6 linked regions of the Kluyveromyces lactis genome follow. The protein of the gene in region 4 interacts with the protein of the main gene of each other region in a biochemical or structural test. Links are inferred from orthologs where the notes say so. Each region holds a gene or a part of one and is shown on either strand. Other genes may lie near its edges.

Evidence for each region.
Region 1: the proteins of HRT1 (region 4) and UBC12 form a complex in vitro, tested with the Saccharomyces cerevisiae proteins (2 studies listed by BioGRID). The link is inferred for Kluyveromyces lactis from reciprocal best matches to the Saccharomyces cerevisiae genes HRT1 and UBC12.
Region 2: the proteins of HRT1 (region 4) and CDC34 form a complex in vitro, tested with the Saccharomyces cerevisiae proteins (21 studies listed by BioGRID, with this or other methods). The link is inferred for Kluyveromyces lactis from reciprocal best matches to the Saccharomyces cerevisiae genes HRT1 and CDC34.
Region 3: the proteins of HRT1 (region 4) and CDC4 form a complex in vitro, tested with the Saccharomyces cerevisiae proteins (2 studies listed by BioGRID). The link is inferred for Kluyveromyces lactis from reciprocal best matches to the Saccharomyces cerevisiae genes HRT1 and CDC4.
Region 5: the proteins of HRT1 (region 4) and CDC53 form a complex in vitro, tested with the Saccharomyces cerevisiae proteins (5 studies listed by BioGRID, with this or other methods). The link is inferred for Kluyveromyces lactis from reciprocal best matches to the Saccharomyces cerevisiae genes HRT1 and CDC53.
Region 6: the proteins of HRT1 (region 4) and DCN1 form a complex in vitro, tested with the Saccharomyces cerevisiae proteins (2 studies listed by BioGRID). The link is inferred for Kluyveromyces lactis from reciprocal best matches to the Saccharomyces cerevisiae genes HRT1 and DCN1.

The regions. Positions count from the first base shown.
Region 1 is NC_006039.1:1,509,385-1,511,812, reverse strand, and holds UBC12 (NEDD8-conjugating protein UBC12), read left to right. Parts: upstream 1-1,373; coding exon 1,374-1,928; downstream 1,929-2,428. Other genes in the region: KLLA0_C17270g (uncharacterized protein), read right to left, coding at 1-884; DPA10 (Dpa10p), read right to left, coding at 2,417-2,428. UniProt on the Saccharomyces cerevisiae protein: Accepts the ubiquitin-like protein NEDD8/RUB1 from the UBA3-ULA1 E1 complex and catalyzes its covalent attachment to other proteins. The major substrate is CDC53/Cullin.
Region 2 is NC_006040.1:771,437-774,173, reverse strand, and holds CDC34 (SCF E2 ubiquitin-protein ligase catalytic subunit CDC34), read right to left. Parts: upstream 1,380-2,737; coding exon 501-1,379; downstream 1-500. UniProt on the Saccharomyces cerevisiae protein: Catalyzes the covalent attachment of ubiquitin to other proteins. Capable, in vitro, to ubiquitinate histone H2A. Mediates the initiation of DNA replication (transition of G1 to S phase in cell cycle).
Region 3 is NC_006040.1:647,484-651,378, reverse strand, and holds CDC4 (SCF ubiquitin ligase complex subunit CDC4), read left to right. Parts: upstream 1-1,451; coding exon 1,452-3,395; downstream 3,396-3,895. Other genes in the region: KLLA0_D07568g (FAD-dependent oxidoreductase), read right to left, coding at 1-753. UniProt on the Saccharomyces cerevisiae protein: Substrate recognition component of a SCF (SKP1-CUL1-F-box protein) E3 ubiquitin-protein ligase complex which mediates the ubiquitination and subsequent proteasomal degradation of target proteins. Recognizes and binds to phosphorylated target proteins.
Region 4 is NC_006041.1:650,215-652,306, reverse strand, and holds HRT1 (SCF ubiquitin ligase complex subunit HRT1), read right to left. Parts: upstream 834-2,092; coding exon 501-833; downstream 1-500. Other genes in the region: prephenate dehydratase PHA2, read left to right, coding at 1-152; mediator complex subunit MED7, read left to right, coding at 1,410-2,051. UniProt on the Saccharomyces cerevisiae protein: Core component of multiple cullin-RING-based E3 ubiquitin-protein ligase complexes (CRLs), which mediate the ubiquitination of target proteins.
Region 5 is NC_006042.1:536,431-540,720, reverse strand, and holds CDC53 (cullin CDC53), read right to left. Parts: upstream 2,801-4,290; coding exon 362-2,800; downstream 1-361. Other genes in the region: SRF1 (phospholipase D regulator), read right to left, coding at 3,616-4,290. UniProt on the Saccharomyces cerevisiae protein: Core component of multiple cullin-RING-based SCF (SKP1-CUL1-F-box) E3 ubiquitin-protein ligase complexes which mediate the ubiquitination and subsequent proteasomal degradation of target proteins.
Region 6 is NC_006040.1:1,374,428-1,377,147, reverse strand, and holds DCN1 (NEDD8 ligase DCN1), read right to left. Parts: upstream 1,496-2,720; coding exon 1,358-1,495; intron 1,269-1,357; coding exon 501-1,268; downstream 1-500. Other genes in the region: TAF12 (Taf12p), read right to left, coding at 1-219; APC2 (anaphase promoting complex subunit 2), read left to right, coding at 1,610-2,720. UniProt on the Saccharomyces cerevisiae protein: Required for neddylation of cullin components of SCF-type E3 ubiquitin ligase complexes. Neddylation of cullins play an essential role in the regulation of SCF-type complexes activity.

The sequences.
Region 1 (2,428 bases), on a different chromosome or scaffold from region 4:
AGCAAAATAAGTTTCTGAAATGGATATTTCCCAATTGACAAGAGTAAATCTGATTCGGGCTCATTTGCTGTTCGAGTAATTGAAATTATAGGCCCATCCGATTTGAACCATGTATATGCCTTGGGGCCCCCTCCATTATTGTTGCCAGTATCAAAAATCATTACTGAACCATTTCTGAATCCAATGAGGAATACATCCTGCCCAAGCAAGATACAGCTCATTGCGTCGCCGAATTTTTTCGGAAGTTTATTCTCTTTTGAAGTCTTCAATCGAGTTCCGTTATATTGAATCAACTGGTACGCTCGGGATGATAGAAACAGAAGATATGTATCTGTCTCATTTTCAAATGAGTTCACATCAATAACTTCAGGTAGTTTCAACTTTCCTCCTGCCATTATTTTCTCTGTGTTGAAATTGAAATCATTGAAGCGGTTTATACTGATGGTAAATTGGTCGCATGTTTTGAAGTACGTTACCGTTTCATGGGCGGATGAGTCTCTATTAAATGAAACTTTGAAGGAATCATCAGACTCATCGATAGATAATTCAAAGAGACGGAAACTTGCATCGTTCAGTATAATGGAGTGACCAGTTCGTCCCATTTGGATTTCACTGGGCCCCTGCTGAGAGATGAATGAGGGCAAAGTGTACGTAGTCGCCAGTTGAAGTGTTTTATTCTGAAACCTGAACCATTCGGGACGCGGTAGTGGATGGCCTTCTATGAGTGCATCTACGCATTTCACGTACTCTTTGTGTGCCACTGACCTGTTAAGACCATCTGGCAACTTTGATTCCTTTTTGTTCTTTCTATCACCAGCTTGTTCTTTGAAATATCTCTTCCTTACAGGATCATATGTCAAACCTGGCAACTGCGGCACGCTCATCTATAAAATATTTGGATGGTCACCACCAAGTGAAGGTCCTGCTTCACTAGGGAGTGGGCTATCTCTACTATATCTTCCTTTTTCTTCAAAGCTCATCACATTGGGATCAAACCTTATTTTCAATATTCAGTTAGATGCGAATATTTCAGTTATAACGCTTAGGAAGATTAGTCCTTTTTAAGGGAAACGCATCAATATTTCAGTTGTTGCGTGAACAGATACTGTTCTTTGTAATATGAATCTGGTGGCCCTTATGGTGACCAGTGAGCAATTAGATAACCGTAGCTTCTTTCGTCCTCTTTCCTTGTCGACCTTTTACGTTTTGATAGTAGTTATATGTATTTCGGTATGCAATGAAAAATCCAAATTTGAGAAAGAACTACTGATCCCAGAAGAAACCTTTTTATTTGAATAAAGGGCAGGCTTCGTACAACGGATATAAACTGGTACCACTCTGTATCAACTTCAAATTATCAATTTTCATAATCAATGCTCAAACTTCGAGCTCTAGCAGAGGCCAAGGCGAAAGCTAAGGAAGGGCAGGGACAAGAAACTACACCACAAGTCATCAAGCCATCATTGATAAGACTTAAGAAGGATTTAGAGAACATCGATCTCTCAGAACAGATATGTGAATATACTACATATTTAGATGAGAATCCAATGAGGGTCAATCTGGCAATTAAGCCAGATATCGGCTACTATGCTGGTGGGACATATTACTTCAATGTATTCATTAAGGATACTTACCCGATGGAACCACCAGTGGTGAAATGCATGCATAGGATATACCATCCTAATATCGATATAGATGGGAACGTGTGTTTGAATCTCCTTAGAGAGGACTGGACACCAGCATTAGATATTCAAAGTATCATCATCGGGATACTTTTCCTATTCCATGAACCAAATGGTAGGGATCCCTTGAATAAAGATGCAGCAAAGACGTTAATTGAAGATCCATTACGGTTCGAAAATAAGGTGAACCACAGCTTAAGAGGGAACAATATAGATGGAGTTTGGTATGATAAAATAATTTATTAATAGTTAAAATTATAATGTAATGACACATTTTTGTTCAACCAGAAAAGAGAAAGATATTCATTGCATTGTCTAACCTAAAAGAGAAGAGAGCATACACAGTATAGAAAAGTGAGTGAGTGATAGTAATTATATATAAGTAGGCGTGTGTGCGTGTGATTATTACTCAGACTCCGATTCTCAAGTAATAAAAAGGGGGAGGGTAAAAAAGAGTGTGATATGGGTAATATACCACATTAGCATAAAATAAGGTTCGAAGGAAAAAATTGACGGACTTCATCATCATAAAACAGATGTAAAGAAAAGTTACTTTATTCTTCCAAAAGCCAGTTTCGAAAGAACGCCGTAATTAAAAATCCAATTAAAAGAACAATGCGAAAACTTCTTCATCAGCTAAATAACGGTGTGAAACGAGTGTCAAATTTTAACCCAGAGAAGTGAAAGCTTTATGATTTGTGTAGAGGTAGCAGTCATAAGCAGAGAGGAAAATCTTATACTCTCAC
Region 2 (2,737 bases), on a different chromosome or scaffold from region 4:
CTTTGTCTTTCTTACAACCCCCTTATATCTCATATCCTGATGGAGGTCCAAAACCAGAAAAAACATTCCATAGATATTGCACACAGCACCGGCTAGGGTTACTGTCATCGAAAAGTGTTATTAAGTTATTAGTTACTTGATGCATCGTTAGTTGTTCACTTTCCAATATAATATCTGAGGGGCTGAAATGTAGATTCAGCGTTATGGTGAATTGAAAAAGGACAGTTTCCAGTTTTATGTTTGGTTATGACAATCATCATTTAGAGGTGCGAATGCTCCAAACAAAATCAATAAAGACGTTGAAGTTGTTACAGGTTCATGAATTTATACTGGAGGTCAAAATAGTATATCACTACAGTAGTAACCAAACTTCAACGTGTGTTTATAATTGTATATTGAAGTAGAAAGACAAGACAGTAGTGAGGAAAGAAATGTGAATGAATGTGATACGCTGAGAAGCACTGCTTCTGAGGGAATAAAAAAGTTGTAAGGGATTCATATCATTTCATTTCTGCATCTTCTAACTCCTCGCTTTCTTCCATTAATTTACTTCTTCTATCCATTACGCTTTCATCTAGAGAATCTTCTGCTTCTTCAGGCACCAGATCTTCATCTTCATCTGAGTCGATATCGTTTTTGTTAGCTTTTTTGCTGAAATTCAAGTTTGAAGAATCTTTGCTGAAAACATCGTCATTATCCTCTTCATCTTCTGAATCCTCGTATGCATAGATATCCACATCTTCATCACCTTCGTCACTGTCGTACCAGAAATTATCGGCAACGGTTTCTTTGATGGTGTCAATACCTTCATTTGCCTTTCTTTGGGAAACATACGCCTTTGTTGATTCTGGCATCACGAACCCTTGCGGGATATCCTGTTTTGATCTTTCCACTTCGAGTTTTACCTTTTGTTTGTACTGATCCGGATTCTTCTTGTAGTCAACAGCAGCGTCGACGTTAGCTGGAGAGGAAATATTTGGATCTTCTAACAAGGAGACAATAGAAATCAACACTGATTCCACAGTCTGTACTGGAGACCAAGTTTCTTCATCGGGCTCATCCGAGGTGGGGTTCCCCGATTGGTGTAAGATAGAAATACACAACCTACCATCACGGTAAACGTTCGGGTGGTAAATTGCTGGAGTAAATCTAAAAGTTGGAGGAGAAAATGGGAAATCGTCCGGGAATTTCATTTGAGCCTTGAAATAACCTCCGTGGTAGATGGATTCCTCATTTAAGACCATTACACCGATGTTCCACAAGAATATGTTTGAATCATCTTCTAATGCAATATGGAAACTAGGAATAGCCTTCTTCGGATCAGTGAGTTCCCTGTATTGTCGTAATAACAAAGAAGCTGCAGTATTCTTGCCGCTCATACTTTAGAAAGAGTATTTCTATGGTAAAAAGATGTTCTGTGTGCTGATTGAAACTTCCCCCTTTTTCCAAAACTGATATATCCAGACCAAGAAAGTTCAGTTATTAGGGCTGACGATTAGAAGTAACTGTTGCTTGGTGTTCCTCAGTGATAAGATATCTCCGAGTAAATTTGACAATAATATGTTGCTAGAACTTAACAAAAACGTTAGGAAGAGAAAGAAAAAAGTAATGAAACGTAAAGCCAAACAAAAGATAGGACAATACAATATACCAACTGAGTAGTGTGAGTTTTTGCGTTTGTACAAGTATACCCGCCCAAAAGTCTATGCAACCTCTCCTTATCACCTGTTTATTGATACTCTCATTTAAATGCAAATACAATAATTTGTAATTAAAATTAATAGTTGTCTGTGTTTTGACCTTTTAAATTTCTTCTGAAACTGGTTTACAAAAAAGAACCAAGCTGAATGCCGAAAAGTCAAGAAAAACCGTCCCAAGACAAAATAAGCAAAAACCGTTGGGTTGTGTACTCTTGGAAGATACCGTTCTATTGTTCAGGTTGGGGGTTTAATCGATATTTATACTATAGCTATATGTCTCTATATTTTTTACCGTCTTGTAAGCTTTTCGTCCCCAGGCATTATTCATGTTGATTTGCACAACCAGGTATGCGTTAATAATCCATGGATGAAAGTAACAGTATTTAAGGCATCAACATTTACGCATGAATGTTTATTTTCCAATTGATGGGGAATGCGGGGGCCAATTACATCAATTTTTTCGAATGTATCTAATGCATCCGGCAAAATATCACTTCTACCGCATCGTTGTGAGAGCGTGCATTTTAACTGATAAGCTGAACACTAGGATTAAATGTGAATCGGAGAACTCTGGTAGTCAGTTGTTACGTTCAAGATTCTTATTTATACTCTAGACTAGTTCTTCATCGGGCAGTAGTATATTCTGCTCGGCGTCAGCAAACGTTAGACTCGCCGCTTTCACCGATAGGAACAGTGGAAAAGTTCACGTGACCTTAGGTCACGTGAACACCAATCACCATCTCCTTCTTTTCTCATTCTCGTAAGGTTTTCCGAACTGAGCCATAGGGCAATAACGCTCATCAAGTCTGAATCGTACCATTTTGAACTATACAGCACTTCACCATAGCTCAACAGGCCTAATTCCCTTACATATTCACCTCAAGGTGGATGTTTTGCTGAGATCCTGCCGTCCTCACATTCGGAACGTTATAAGATTTGTATCTCGCGACGGCGTGTTGGAGTTGCAACTCGATGCTATATGTTTTCTCGTCTGCGCGCTTTTCTTTGTGTGCCGAAATTTGTTTTCGTCCAAAGTA
Region 3 (3,895 bases), on a different chromosome or scaffold from region 4:
GACGAAGGTCCAGTCACCACTCTTTGCTTGATGTGTGATAGTCGCATGTGCATATGGTATGGTGTCATGCTTGTCACCAACATCAAGTAATAAAGTTTGACCTCTGACAAGGAAACATTTAGGATCTAAACCTCCTTCCCATTGTAACCCACAACCTGAAGCATTGACCACAATATTAACATCAGGGTAAAGCTCGCAAATATCTTTTAATTTCTCAAGCTTGATTCTCTTTACTCTAATGTTAACGTTCTGTTGCTCACTCTTTTTCATTACCTGGTCGTAAAGGAACAGTAAATACAATGGAGCATTCAAACACCACGTTTCATAGCTACAACCGAAAGTGACACCTGCAGGCAAGTTGGAATCTTGCTGTTGGAATTTTTCCAAGCTGGATCCATTATACCCTGCTCCTAAGCGTTGGTATTCGATGCTCGGATTTTCTAACCAATCGATCCCGTTCATGAATTCAACAGTGGCCTCACTCAACCACTGCTTAGATTTACGTTTGAAATAGTTATAAGTCACTCTGGTATATTCACTCTCACGTTTATCCGAAGCATAATCAGAATCTCTGTGTGGGAATGGTCTAAAATGAGCACCTGCCCATGGTGATGTGAACGTATGATTGATTGGCTGATCTTGCGGGAATTGTTCGGATACAATTGTTATAGTCCTGATATCGGGTCTTGTTTCCAGTAGTCTCAGCGCACTTGACAAACCAATAACACCGGCACCAACTATACAAACTGACATGCTCCAATATTCTGCTTTCTCAATTAACTAAACCTCGGCCGTGGCTGCCTATTTCCTGTTGTTCAAATTTATGAAACTTCTATTCATATCATATGTAAATCTAGTCAGATGTTTCATTCGATCGTCTTTTATGCAAATTGGAAATCACATTCAAACAAGAAAAGACGACTCAAACCCCCACATCTTAACCCGTAATAAGCAGCCAACTACATAGTGTTTGCGCCGGGAATTAACCAAAAAAATCGGTAGATTAACTAGGAACAGCTTCAAGGCATTTTTGTCCTGTCAGTATCGTATATCACCATTACAACCGAGATCGCTGCTCTGGTAATAATTACATTCTAACACGTGACCTGTGTTGCATGCAAGGTAAATACCTATGTAGGTCTAAAAGATAGAATGGTTTAGCTTAATATATTAGCCTCAAAGCGTTTAATAGCTAACTAATAGATGGCGAGAGTATCTCGCATAGATATAGGGACTGATAACATTGATTCAACAAATCTATGTTTATTTGCACTGTTATCGGCACTCTCAACCAAAATCAAAATTAAACTCTTGTACGATTTCTTTGTACAAAACGAAGTCACATCAACATATTGACTGACAGACGGAATATTGTTTAGCAGAAAGATAAGGAGTAACGGCAGGTGTGGGGTAGTCGTAAGTAACTTCCATTAGTTAAGGGTATAAGTAACATGGATCTCAATAGGCATGCGACCCCAGGGGTACCACAGTATCCTCTACAGAATGTTCCCGTTCCATACCGGTACCAACTTCATCCTCAGCCAGCGTCTCAGAGTAAACGAAGTATACATTATCCCCTTCAACAGCTTGACGACGATTCTGACAGCGACGGTCAGTATCACAAAAAGTTAAAGCCAAATCAGCAGGCTGTTTCCAGTCCCAACTTGATCGAGGATCAAGATGGGCCGTTACCAATATCGCCGATTGCTTCCCCATGTCACACACCTGAAGTGGAGGAACCAAGTATTGACGAAGTCATAGGGACTACAGTAGCTAGACTCAGCAGTACGACATCTCATCCAAATGCTTTAACAAGTCTTATATTTGGGCTTGTTTCCAACATGGATAGAACTCAGCTTTCAGATTTGGTCAGTATAATAACCGATAACTTGAAACGAGATTTGTTCCAATCACTACCTAATGAAATCACTGTGAAGATCCTATTAAATTTATCTTCGGAAGACATCTTCGCATGTTTGTTGGTTAACAGAAATTGGAATAGGTTAATCGAGGAGGCGCCTGTTGTTTGGAAATGGCTAATGCTTAACGAAGGTTTTGTCACCGAAGATCAGTTCCCGTCGTACTGTAACAGTTTGCCCAGTAAATATAAGCATTTGATCAACCCTGACGACAGATTTAGATTAGATTTCCTGGAGAACAACTGGTGTCTCCAGAACTGGTACGATCCAAACTATAAACCAGGGAGGACTTGTCTTGATGGTCATAGTACCAATGTTGTAACATGTCTACAATTTGAAAACAATTATATTATTACCGGAGCAGACGATAAGAAGATCAACGTGTATGACGCTGAGAATGATCTGTTCCTATTAGAATTAAACGGACATGAGGGCGGTGTGTGGGCACTGAAATTTGTGGACGGTAAGATTTTAGTTAGTGGTTCCACAGATAGAAGTGTGAGAATCTGGAACATCGAAACTGGTAAATGTACCCATGTTTTCAAAGGACACACATCGACGGTTAGATGTTTAGAAGTGGTTGAATATGGTGACAGCAAATACATTGTAACGGGGTCTAGAGACAATACCTTGCATGTGTGGAAACTTCCCCCCATGAAAGAGCTAGACAAGGGATCGCAGGAACCTATTTTCTACAGGACACCAGAGGAAAACCCATATTTTGTTGGGGTATTAAGAGGCCACATGTCTTCGGTAAGGACAGTGTCTGGTCATGGTAGAATTGTCATAAGTGGTTCATATGACCACAATTTGATGGTATGGGATATCATTAGTATGAAATTACTATATATTCTAACCGGTCACACCGACCGTGTGTACTCGACCATTTATGACTACAAGAGGAACAGGTGCATATCAGCAAGTATGGATACCACAGTGATGATCTGGGATCTCGAAAACATTGAAAATAATGGGACAACTACTACAATCAATGACGGTGCATCGATCAAAGTGGTTGGAAGCATGAAATGCCTTTATGGACATACAGCTTTAGTTGGTCTACTTTGCCTATCCAATAAATTTTTGGTTAGCGCTGCTGCAGACGGTTCGATACGCGGCTGGGATCCAAATGATTATTCAAGAAAGTTTTCGTTCCATCATACAAACCTGGCTGCTATCACTTCATTCTCCATGAACGATAACATTTTGGTTAGTGGATCGGAACGACAATTCAATGTATATAATTTAAGGACCGGTAAGCTGATACACAGGAAGCTACTCACAGATTCGGAACAAGTGTGGGGTATCAAATTAAATAACAGAAAATTAGTCGCTGCGATCGAGTCAGTGGGACACAGTTACGTAGAAATCTTGGATTTTGCTGCTCGGAATGGTGACAAGACTATCAGAACCCGGACTAGAACAAGAGTCGACCATCAAATATATCGAACGTCACTTTGGTCTTCCACTCTTTAACATTAACTATCAATTTAACTTGCATTACCACATCTGGTATCTCGCCGTATGGAAATATTCTACCATCAAATAAACTCTGTAATACCAATCCTCTGTATCTTTGTTCTCTTCTCTTCTCTTCAATGCCAGCAGACATAAAAAAGTTGTATGATTAATTTATCTACGGCATCACCTATCCCTAAGACATATATAGGAGTTTCAATACTATTTCTACGTGTTACAAACTTTTCAGCCACCCCAGTACTGGTGGATACAGTCGACTACTATACCAGACATATACAGTTCTCAACATTTACCTATCTATGTCTTCTTATCAAGATAGGGTCATCCCTAGGTGTGGAAAATTATGCCAAGGAATTAATCGGGTGTGTTTTGCGATGAGGAAAAAAGTAAGTTGCACATTGAAAAAAATGTCAAATTTACACAATATAAGTACCTCTTTCGATTTTGTCCACCTATTCTTGCAACATTCCAGTGCCTACTCAAGCATAGCGTCTTGG
Region 4 (2,092 bases):
AAAGAAAATGGCAATATTGCTTCTTTATTGAGTTTTATGGCAATTACGGTACTGATTACGAACTTCTGGCGAAAAGGTTTGACGAAAACTGCGCAAAATGGATTCACTGGGGTAAATTCTACCGAAACGCACTGTATTACCAAATCCCATGATATATGCATTATGTTTAGAAACAAAATGCAAATACTGATCTTAAAAACGAAGCAATCGAAGAGGAATGTACGCATCCTAGTTGTATTCATGGAACAACGCTGTCCTGTCTATTGTTTTGGGACCGATCGAACCTGTCGATAATTCCATTAGAAGCTCGTTACGTAACTATATATACACAGAAGCCAGATTATCTAAGCTTCTTCCCAATGGTAGATATTAAATCCACACTATCCGCTTGGTATTAAATCATTGGAAATCTAAATTGAGTAACATTTTTTGCGGTTCGAACAGTCCAATAGCGATATTAAATTTCGATAATGCATCTTTGTAGGCTTAACACTCTATCTTCACTTGCCACACCGAGCCAATTTCCAAGGTTTATTATCCAACGGACAAACATTTCTGCTCTTGATCCATTGGGTAATACAATGTAGGTGGAATGCGTGGTTGCACTCACCCCAGGCGGCTACACATTCATGCTCCGAGTTGAAAGTTGCTTCCTGCTGACAATTTACACATGGTTCCATAATATGATTTCTGCAAATGGCACAATTATCAACGTCAATATCCCATGACCAAAAAGCTACCGCTGTCCATTTCGTTATCTCAAAATTGGGCTTTGACTCAGTAGCACCCTCTGTCCCGCTCTGTGCCTCTATTGGTCCCAAATCCGTGGCCATCTCCTAACGATCAGCTACTATTGGTAAATATAAATCCTTCCTTCTTTAAAACAGATTACAAACAGACGTTCTAAGTCCCAGGTCTAACTGTCGTTCAATCCTTGGAAACGCGGGTGTGAAAACCTTTTTTTAAACTATTAATGATCGAATAGAGTAGTCTTATGAATGACAAAAGATATACCCTGTGGACTATAATGGGATCTATGGACTTTCGTAACTGCCCAAACGTTCAGAAACATTAGAATTCATGTTGAAAGAGAGACAAGAGTGATATTCATATCACGTGAATACAAACATTTGTTACCCGGATGTGAAATTGTACATGAAATGGAAATCCAACTTATAGTAACCAGCACAAACAGAAACAAGTGATAAATCAGTGAACACAGGAAAGCGTGTTGGCGATATCAGACCTGTGTTAGACCTCCGTGGCCATAATCTGTCCAGATTCAAGATAAACTGGAACCTCGACCGTCCTTTAAAGTATTGAAATCCCTCTCAATAAAAGATTTTTTTGAAAGTGATTGTGAAAGTGAGAGACAATACTGCCAGTCAGAAGCTAAAATATAAAGGACCATGAGTGACAAGAACGAAGTATCATCATTGTATCCTCCACCACCACCGTTCATTCAATTTTTCACCGAAGAGAACTCAAAACTATTTAGAGAATGTGGCAAAGATGAAGAAAAACTAGCGAAATGTACAACAAAACAGAGGGAGCAGTTGAAATATTTTGTGAAGCCAGAACTACCCAGGGATGGTTCATACAGAGCATTTGGTAATGTATGGAAAATTAAGGATGAACTACCGGAGTTATCACAGATGGGAATTGAACAATTATATAGGAAACGGGAATCTGTCACGGAATTGGAAAACGGGACCACAACAGAAGTTGAACCTAGTCCTCAAGATTCGCAAAGTGGGACAAATTACGAGAACAAGATCCAAGAGTCGAAAAAACTAATGAAATCACTATTACTAAATTTCCTAGAGCTTATAGGAATATTGGGAGTGGATTCAAGTAGATATGAGAAAAAACTTGACGAGATAAGGGTGATAGCCATCAATATTCACCATCTTCTTAACGAATATAGACCGCACCAAAGTCGTGAATCGCTAATCATGTTATTTGAAGAACAATTGGAACATAAACGCAAGGAAATGGAACACATCAATAAAGTCTGTGATGAAGTGGAATCCAAGCTGGCTCAACTGTGATATATATCCCAGCATACCAGTTGTTAAGGCGATCTCTAAAA
Region 5 (4,290 bases), on a different chromosome or scaffold from region 4:
ATGACCAATTTTCGTGAATATTCCTGTGGATTTTAAATCCGATGAACGTAGATTTTTGCAGCAGGTATTGACAAACACCTTCCGAATGATGCTAAGGTAGTCACTGAGAGTAGTGAGAGCAGCAAGAGAGCAGAGAGGGCTACCCAAGCATTTAGGTTTGGCTATTGAGTAATGAATAGTATACTCGTCGGTCCTTTCATGATGTCTCTCTTTTTTTCTTGGGAATATTCATGCTTGAAAATATGGGGCCCAAGGTTGACCTTTGGTCGAATGGTCGAATGGTTGCGAAATATATGTTGATACATATACATTTCTTATACATATGTATGGCGAAGTAAAAGGTGGATAAAAAAGTGAGCGTTTACGCTAGATATTCATAGCATTCACCGTCGTCTGTCCTTTTCAAATACTCTTGTTCTATTAGATTGTCGACAGCTTTTTTGATCATGGACACCTTGGCGTTGAATCTCTGTTGAGATTCGGCAATACACTCGTTCATCAATGAACTGTGTGGTAGTTTTCTCTTTGCCTTCATAATTCTCACTATGCATGCTCTTAAGAACATCAATCTTTGTTGATTTAGTTCCTTTTCTGCTTTCTTTTGCTCAGATGCCTCTGTTTCATCTAATGCAGATCCATTAACGGTTGCAGTAAAGGTTAGATCATTTTTCACAGCGGCTGCAAAATTAACACTAGTTTTCGATAATCGATAGGGTTTGTTTAAGGTGTACTTTGTATCTAACTTGATCATACTTTCCACCCCTTCTGGAGATTGTATTAATAGTTTCATCTTCACAAACGGATACATATTAGACGCAATCTGTGTAGCCTTCAAATTGGTTCTCTCTTGTATTTGTTCAAAGGTCAACGTAGATATATCATTAAACAAGGTAAGAATCGCCATTTGGAAAATAGTCACAGTGAATTGGAATGGTGGTTTGCCTGGTTTACCAATATGTGCCTTGATTTCACCACGAGACATTGGCCATAGCCATTTCAATATTCTACCAGAATGCTTGTCAGTATACATGGTTTCCAATTTGTTCTTACTATGTTCAAGAACTGGTGGTAATGCGAATTCTGTTGGTTGATAGCTGAAGGGCCATACATTGTCTGCAAGAATTAGAGGTTCTAATTCAGGAACTTTGCTTCTGAAAGTTGCGGCGCTAGTAGTATTATTCCCATCTTGTGAAATGAACGTGGAAAATTCATCATGCAAGTTTTTAGATAATTTGACATCTTGTAGCATCTTGGTAATCTTGCTGGTGTATTCAAGACTGTTCTCGGACTGTAGTCTTTGGATAATGATTTCTTCATCAGCTTCTGATTTTGATGATCCATGAATTAATCTTTTTGCTAAATTTTTTCGGTAATGCATCTCAAATGCATCCTTGTCGGCCAAGAACTTAAAGACAGTCATGATATCATCCACGGTCAAATCTACCTGTTCATTATTCTTGGTCGACTTTTTGAGCAACTGGTCACTGTATTTCGCCAACATCTCAGGAGCTCTAGAAGTCGCAAATTTAGGTGAACCAGGAGGAATAGCGAATGAGTTATTGTTAATGAAGCAACGGCATCCATAGTCTAAAGCCTTAGCAAAAGCAGGATGATTTTCAAAACATTCTATGGTGATATTGTAAAAGAGTTTGTAAACTCCTATTAAACATTTCAAGTAATCTCTAGGTGATAATCCCGGTTGCCTTTTAGCGTTTGAATCTTGTGCTGCACTCTTATTATGTGCATCAATTAATTTATCGATTTCTTCATTTCCGACTCTCTTGATGTACATATCAAAAGTATCCACCAAATCTGGTAACATTCGGTAATCGCGTTTCATCAATTCGTATATGAGCTTAATCAATCTTTGATCTTGCTTATCCAAAAGTAAAATAAACTCTTTTTTTAACTTATCGGCATGATCAGCAATCAAAACTTGGTTCAAAGCTGTAGACAATGGTGCCGATGTATGGGAATCCAAATATAAAATCATGTCCTTTTCTTCGAAGATTATGCATTCATTTGCCTTTTCGATGTATTCAGAGACACTGTGAGAGTCTAAGAATTCGTTGGACATCTTCGTGTAGTATTCTTTTGTCTTCTGTAGGAATGGCTGTTCGAAGTTTTGAATATACACATTCAAATTCAACTTCTTTAAGTCTGATGGATCGATACCTAATATCACAAAGGATTTTATTGCTATTGTAATAGCAGATTTATTCACTAATTCACCCCTCCGCTGCAAATCCAATTGATCGAATATTTCAGTAACGAGTTCCGTCTTATGTGTTTCAAACATAACTTCTTTCCACGTCATCAAGCACAAAGTATGTGCATCGAAAATGTGTCTTTTACCATCGCTTCTTTCCTTTTGCACCCAGTAACGGTTCATATAGTCGAAGACCCGATTTAAGAAAATAGCTCCGATTGTAAATCTTTCCCAGCGTCTCACGTAGAAATTCAAAAACGTTACATTATCATCTTTCTTTAAATTCGATATGTAATCTTTCAAATAATTCTTTAAGTTCTCATAGATTTCTCCTCCAACAAGAATCGAAGATTGATTCATTTGCTTCCCTATAATATCAGATTGGAAATGACCTGTAGAACGTGACTTGTTGACACAGTAATTATAAATCGCCGTGTATACCTCCATGTACATCCTTGGGGAAAGAACTTTCTGAACTCTGTTTGTCTTTATATCCGATGTACCATCACGATCCAAGATCTGGTCGATCCCAGGCTTCACAAAGTTCCATGTTGCTTCCAAATCATCTGATCTAGGTAATGTGTCTGCCATAGCTTATTAGACTTGTTTCTTATTGATTGCACGTGTAGTTTCTTTTACCAGTAATATTTCTATTGAACGATGCCTAAGTTATCTTTTCTGAAGCGTTAATGAGACTTGCTTCCCACTAACCCAGTTAAATATACGCTTTAGAATAATAGTATTCCCAAGGGCGCAGGTAGCGGTACTTGTAAATAAAGATTTGGTAGTAAACTGAAATCAGCAGCGATAGAAAATACAGTTCGAGTCCCAATTAGTCGAGCAACCCTTTTCAATGAATCGAAAGAAAGGATAAAACAGAATAGAAAGCGCCTTCACTGCTAAATATGAAATGCACCACTTGTTGGCGGGATCCTATAAAAAAGGGTCACACAGGAAAACTTTATATTGCTTCTATCGTGAAGTATCTCCGAGTTGTTCGATATTTTGACCCTTTTTGACAGCCTTACTTGTTATATACTGATTTATATAATTGCATACTATGTTACTATAATTTCTTATATTTTTGTTTTCGTTTGCCACACATTATTGGAATATCAAAAAATCCTGAATTGTTCCTCAATATGAATCTGATCTTATTATTAAAGTACTTAAAAGAGGGTAAGGATTACAGCTTTCGGCAAATATACTTTAGCATACTGCAGTCGTCTAATTATGTTGTTTAATACAGGGCCCAAACTTATATGTTTATAAGGTTTTCTTTGGTACTTTTGATTTTCTTTTGTTGGGTTTGTAAACAAATTATGTACTCTCATGGAATAATGATTTATTTAAAACAATTAATCTACAGGCGTCTTAAGTCGGAAGGGCCCGTTTCAAGAATAGTCTTAGGGTCTTGGAGCACCAGAACTGACTCTTTCCACGACCCTTAATATGCTAATACTGAACGTTACAACCCAAGTGACCAAGACCAAGAAAAGGAACGCCGCGAGCGCCCTTTGTTTGTCACATATATATCCTACGTGCGGAGGATCAACTTGTGACGTTCCAGTAGATGTGCAGACCCATCGATTATCATATAATGTATTGAAGGTAAGCGATAAATTAGCACTTGAAAATATGATGAATAAAAGGTCCAGCATAATTAGTCTGACTTTAGTCATAGGATCTCTAATTCCTAGCGGTTTCCCTGAAAATTCGTCATATCCGATATAAACCAAATATAATATAGCGATGGAATTAACACATAGCGCCATGATAGTACTTGGTTGTTGAGGTATTGATGATTCGAAGGATTCGACAGTGGAATCCGAGTTCTGGTATATTCTACTTGCTAGGCCAAGAGAGATTATGCAGAGTATCACAATGAGAAATCTCAACGACAAAGGTAGATATTGACTTTGCAATAAAAGTCTTCGTAGTCTTGGTAACCATTGTTGTTTTTTTCTTTGTTCAAGGGTAGCCCAAGAGTTTTTCTTACTATTCACACTATTTCTCCCCTTGTTTAAAATAGAATGAAACCTCCCATCGTCACTTGAATGAGTTTCCGAAGATTGTTTCGC
Region 6 (2,720 bases), on a different chromosome or scaffold from region 4:
TGCTCCAGCCTGCGCTTGGGCCTGCTGCTGCCTCTGTTTACTGTAAGCCTCGTACAAAGCCTTAATACGGGCCGCTTGTCTCAATAGCTCTTTCCCTTCCTTGGTATCTACACCAATTCGCTTAGCTTCGTTAACTAACGATTTTAGTCTATCCGCCAATTGCTGCATAGAAGCTGGCGTGAGGTTCTGCAGCTGTACATTACCTGCTTGGCCTGACATTGTCCGTATCTTGGTTCGTAATCCGAAATGCACACCGCAAGCCCACTTTAAGTGTCGAAATACCCTCGTGCTGGCCTTCTTTGCCCCCGTTTTGCCCTTGCTTTAACCTCGCGGCAACTACTTTCGATTGTTATTCACTTGTTGATCTTTGAAATATTTTTGAATTTTGATGCTGAAAGGAATAGGAAGACAAGTGTTACCCTGACAACATACACAATGCGTATATATGAATATATGTATCTATGAATATGTTCATAAGCGATATAGGTGTTTGCGCTGCATCACAGCTTGTCATTTTCTTCCAAGAATTCGTAATATTCGTCTATAAGTAGCGGCCAAGCAGCCATTTCATCATAGTTTTGTTTTAAACTTTCGTCATTGGGGTATTGTTCAATGAACTTATAGAACATCAACCATATATCGTTTGAGATGTTCTGTTTCCTTGGATCCGAGTCGTCAGAATTGATGAATTCAAGCCATGAATTAAGTCTCTCCTTGGAGATTTTCAACGCATATTTATTGTCTTTAAAGAAAATATTCCAGTATTCTATTGCGACATCTTTAGGTAAATGACGAGATCCCTCGTCTGTATTCAATGGGAAAGTGTAGGAATAGATTGATTTGAAATAATCTTTGTCCGTCTCCAGTCTCTCTTCTAGCGTATGTAAATAGGCTTTCATCTTTCTTAAAGTGTCGCAACATAAATCTGACCAGGCATTTAGGAATTGTTCTCGAGATACTGGTTTTGTTAAATCGTCGATGCATAGCATTTGAGAAAGACATAGCGTGATTGGGTCCTCTATCGATATACCGAGGTCTTCAATAAACCGTATTAGCCCAGAAGAGTCCCATTCTGTTGCCGAAACGCCATTCGAGTACTTCTCAAAGATAGCCACTAAACTGGGATTGTAAGATTGACGCATACCTCCAATGGTATCCACATTATCATAATAATCGTTCAAAGCGTACTCGACACGCCCTCCATTCTTTCGAAGGTATTCCTGTGCAACAGAGTACGTGCATCCTGTGAGGTTCATGAACTCTTTCTCCTATTTTTCCAAATGATTATTTGATTAGCATTTGTTAGTAAAGGTGTCATTCACCTGACCAGAGGGTAGAGGCATAGTAAAAAACATACCATTATAAAAACACAATACGATGAAATTTCTGAAGGGTTGTTATCCACGAGTAAATGATCGCTTGCTCTGGCGTTTTGTCGCGAGTAGATTGCTTTCTTCTTTACCCTAAAACTCGAAACGAATATGAAGTAAAACATGTAATTTCACTTAAAATGAACTTGTCTGTATATTTAAAATATGTCAACAAACGTAATGGTCATAGTGAAAAGTGATGAGAAGCAGGACTAAAGGGACCCAGCACCGTTGACCGAATGACTAAGACTGATGACGAACTTAAATTACTTCATGAGAAAATTCTACTTAACCTAGCTTCGAATTTAGAAGAAGAGGTAGATATGGTTCTTGCGTGGCTCAATCCCACATTCCAACCACAAATACCGACATTACGAATTAAACAATGTTTGAAAGTTGTGTTAGAGCAGAGCGATGAAAGAACGCGGTTTCTCATCGAGCAGTACTACCTCACGCTTATACGAACGCATTTCTTCTTACAATTTGATGATATAGTCAACTGGAAGGATATGATCAAGCTAGAGAAACTATACATATCTAAGGTCGAATTCATGTTTGGAACGTCAGTATACTGGATAAAGGAGGAGATGATTTCATTCAAACGGTTGTTGATGAAAAAGAATAATGAATTCAGGAAACAATTGCATGCGAAATTAGAGTCACATATTCTCGATAATGATCTAGTTAGGTTTGATCAAATGTATCAATGGTTGGCACCGGCATTTGATGGACAAGAGATTGAGTTCAATGTTAGGATAATAAACCTAAAAGTAGATCAGATGTCACAGAAACTAATGAAAAATAAGATTGACGATCGATACTTAGTAATGAACACTTATAACCATTTCATCAAAGATTTTTGGTCCAAGTTCTCCAAGTTGTTGATTATAGAAGATGATCATGAATTGACAGCCATAATATATCAATCTTTCGAGAAAAACTATATCAAATATAAATGCGACGAGTTTTATACGGATATTGTACCGAAATTTCCTGCTTCGAGGAAATGCTTGCTTGAATTGAGGAGCATCCTGAATAAAGACATAAAAACTGTCGGCACAAAAGTGCTTGAGACCTTATATCACGGATTTGTATCAAGGTTTCTCACCTCAAGTCTTTTAACTTGCGAAATACTGTATTATTACATTAAGACGGTGAAATGTTTAAAGATAATTGATCCGATGGGCATTTGTCTCCGATCGCTATCAAAGGCGGTAAGAGTATATTTGAATCCAAGACCGGATATTATAAAAACGCTACTACTCGGGATATTTCCATTCCAAAATAATGAACGGTTCAAAATTGCATCATCAACTGATGGTAGTTCCGTACATCTTGAAAAGTTAGAGC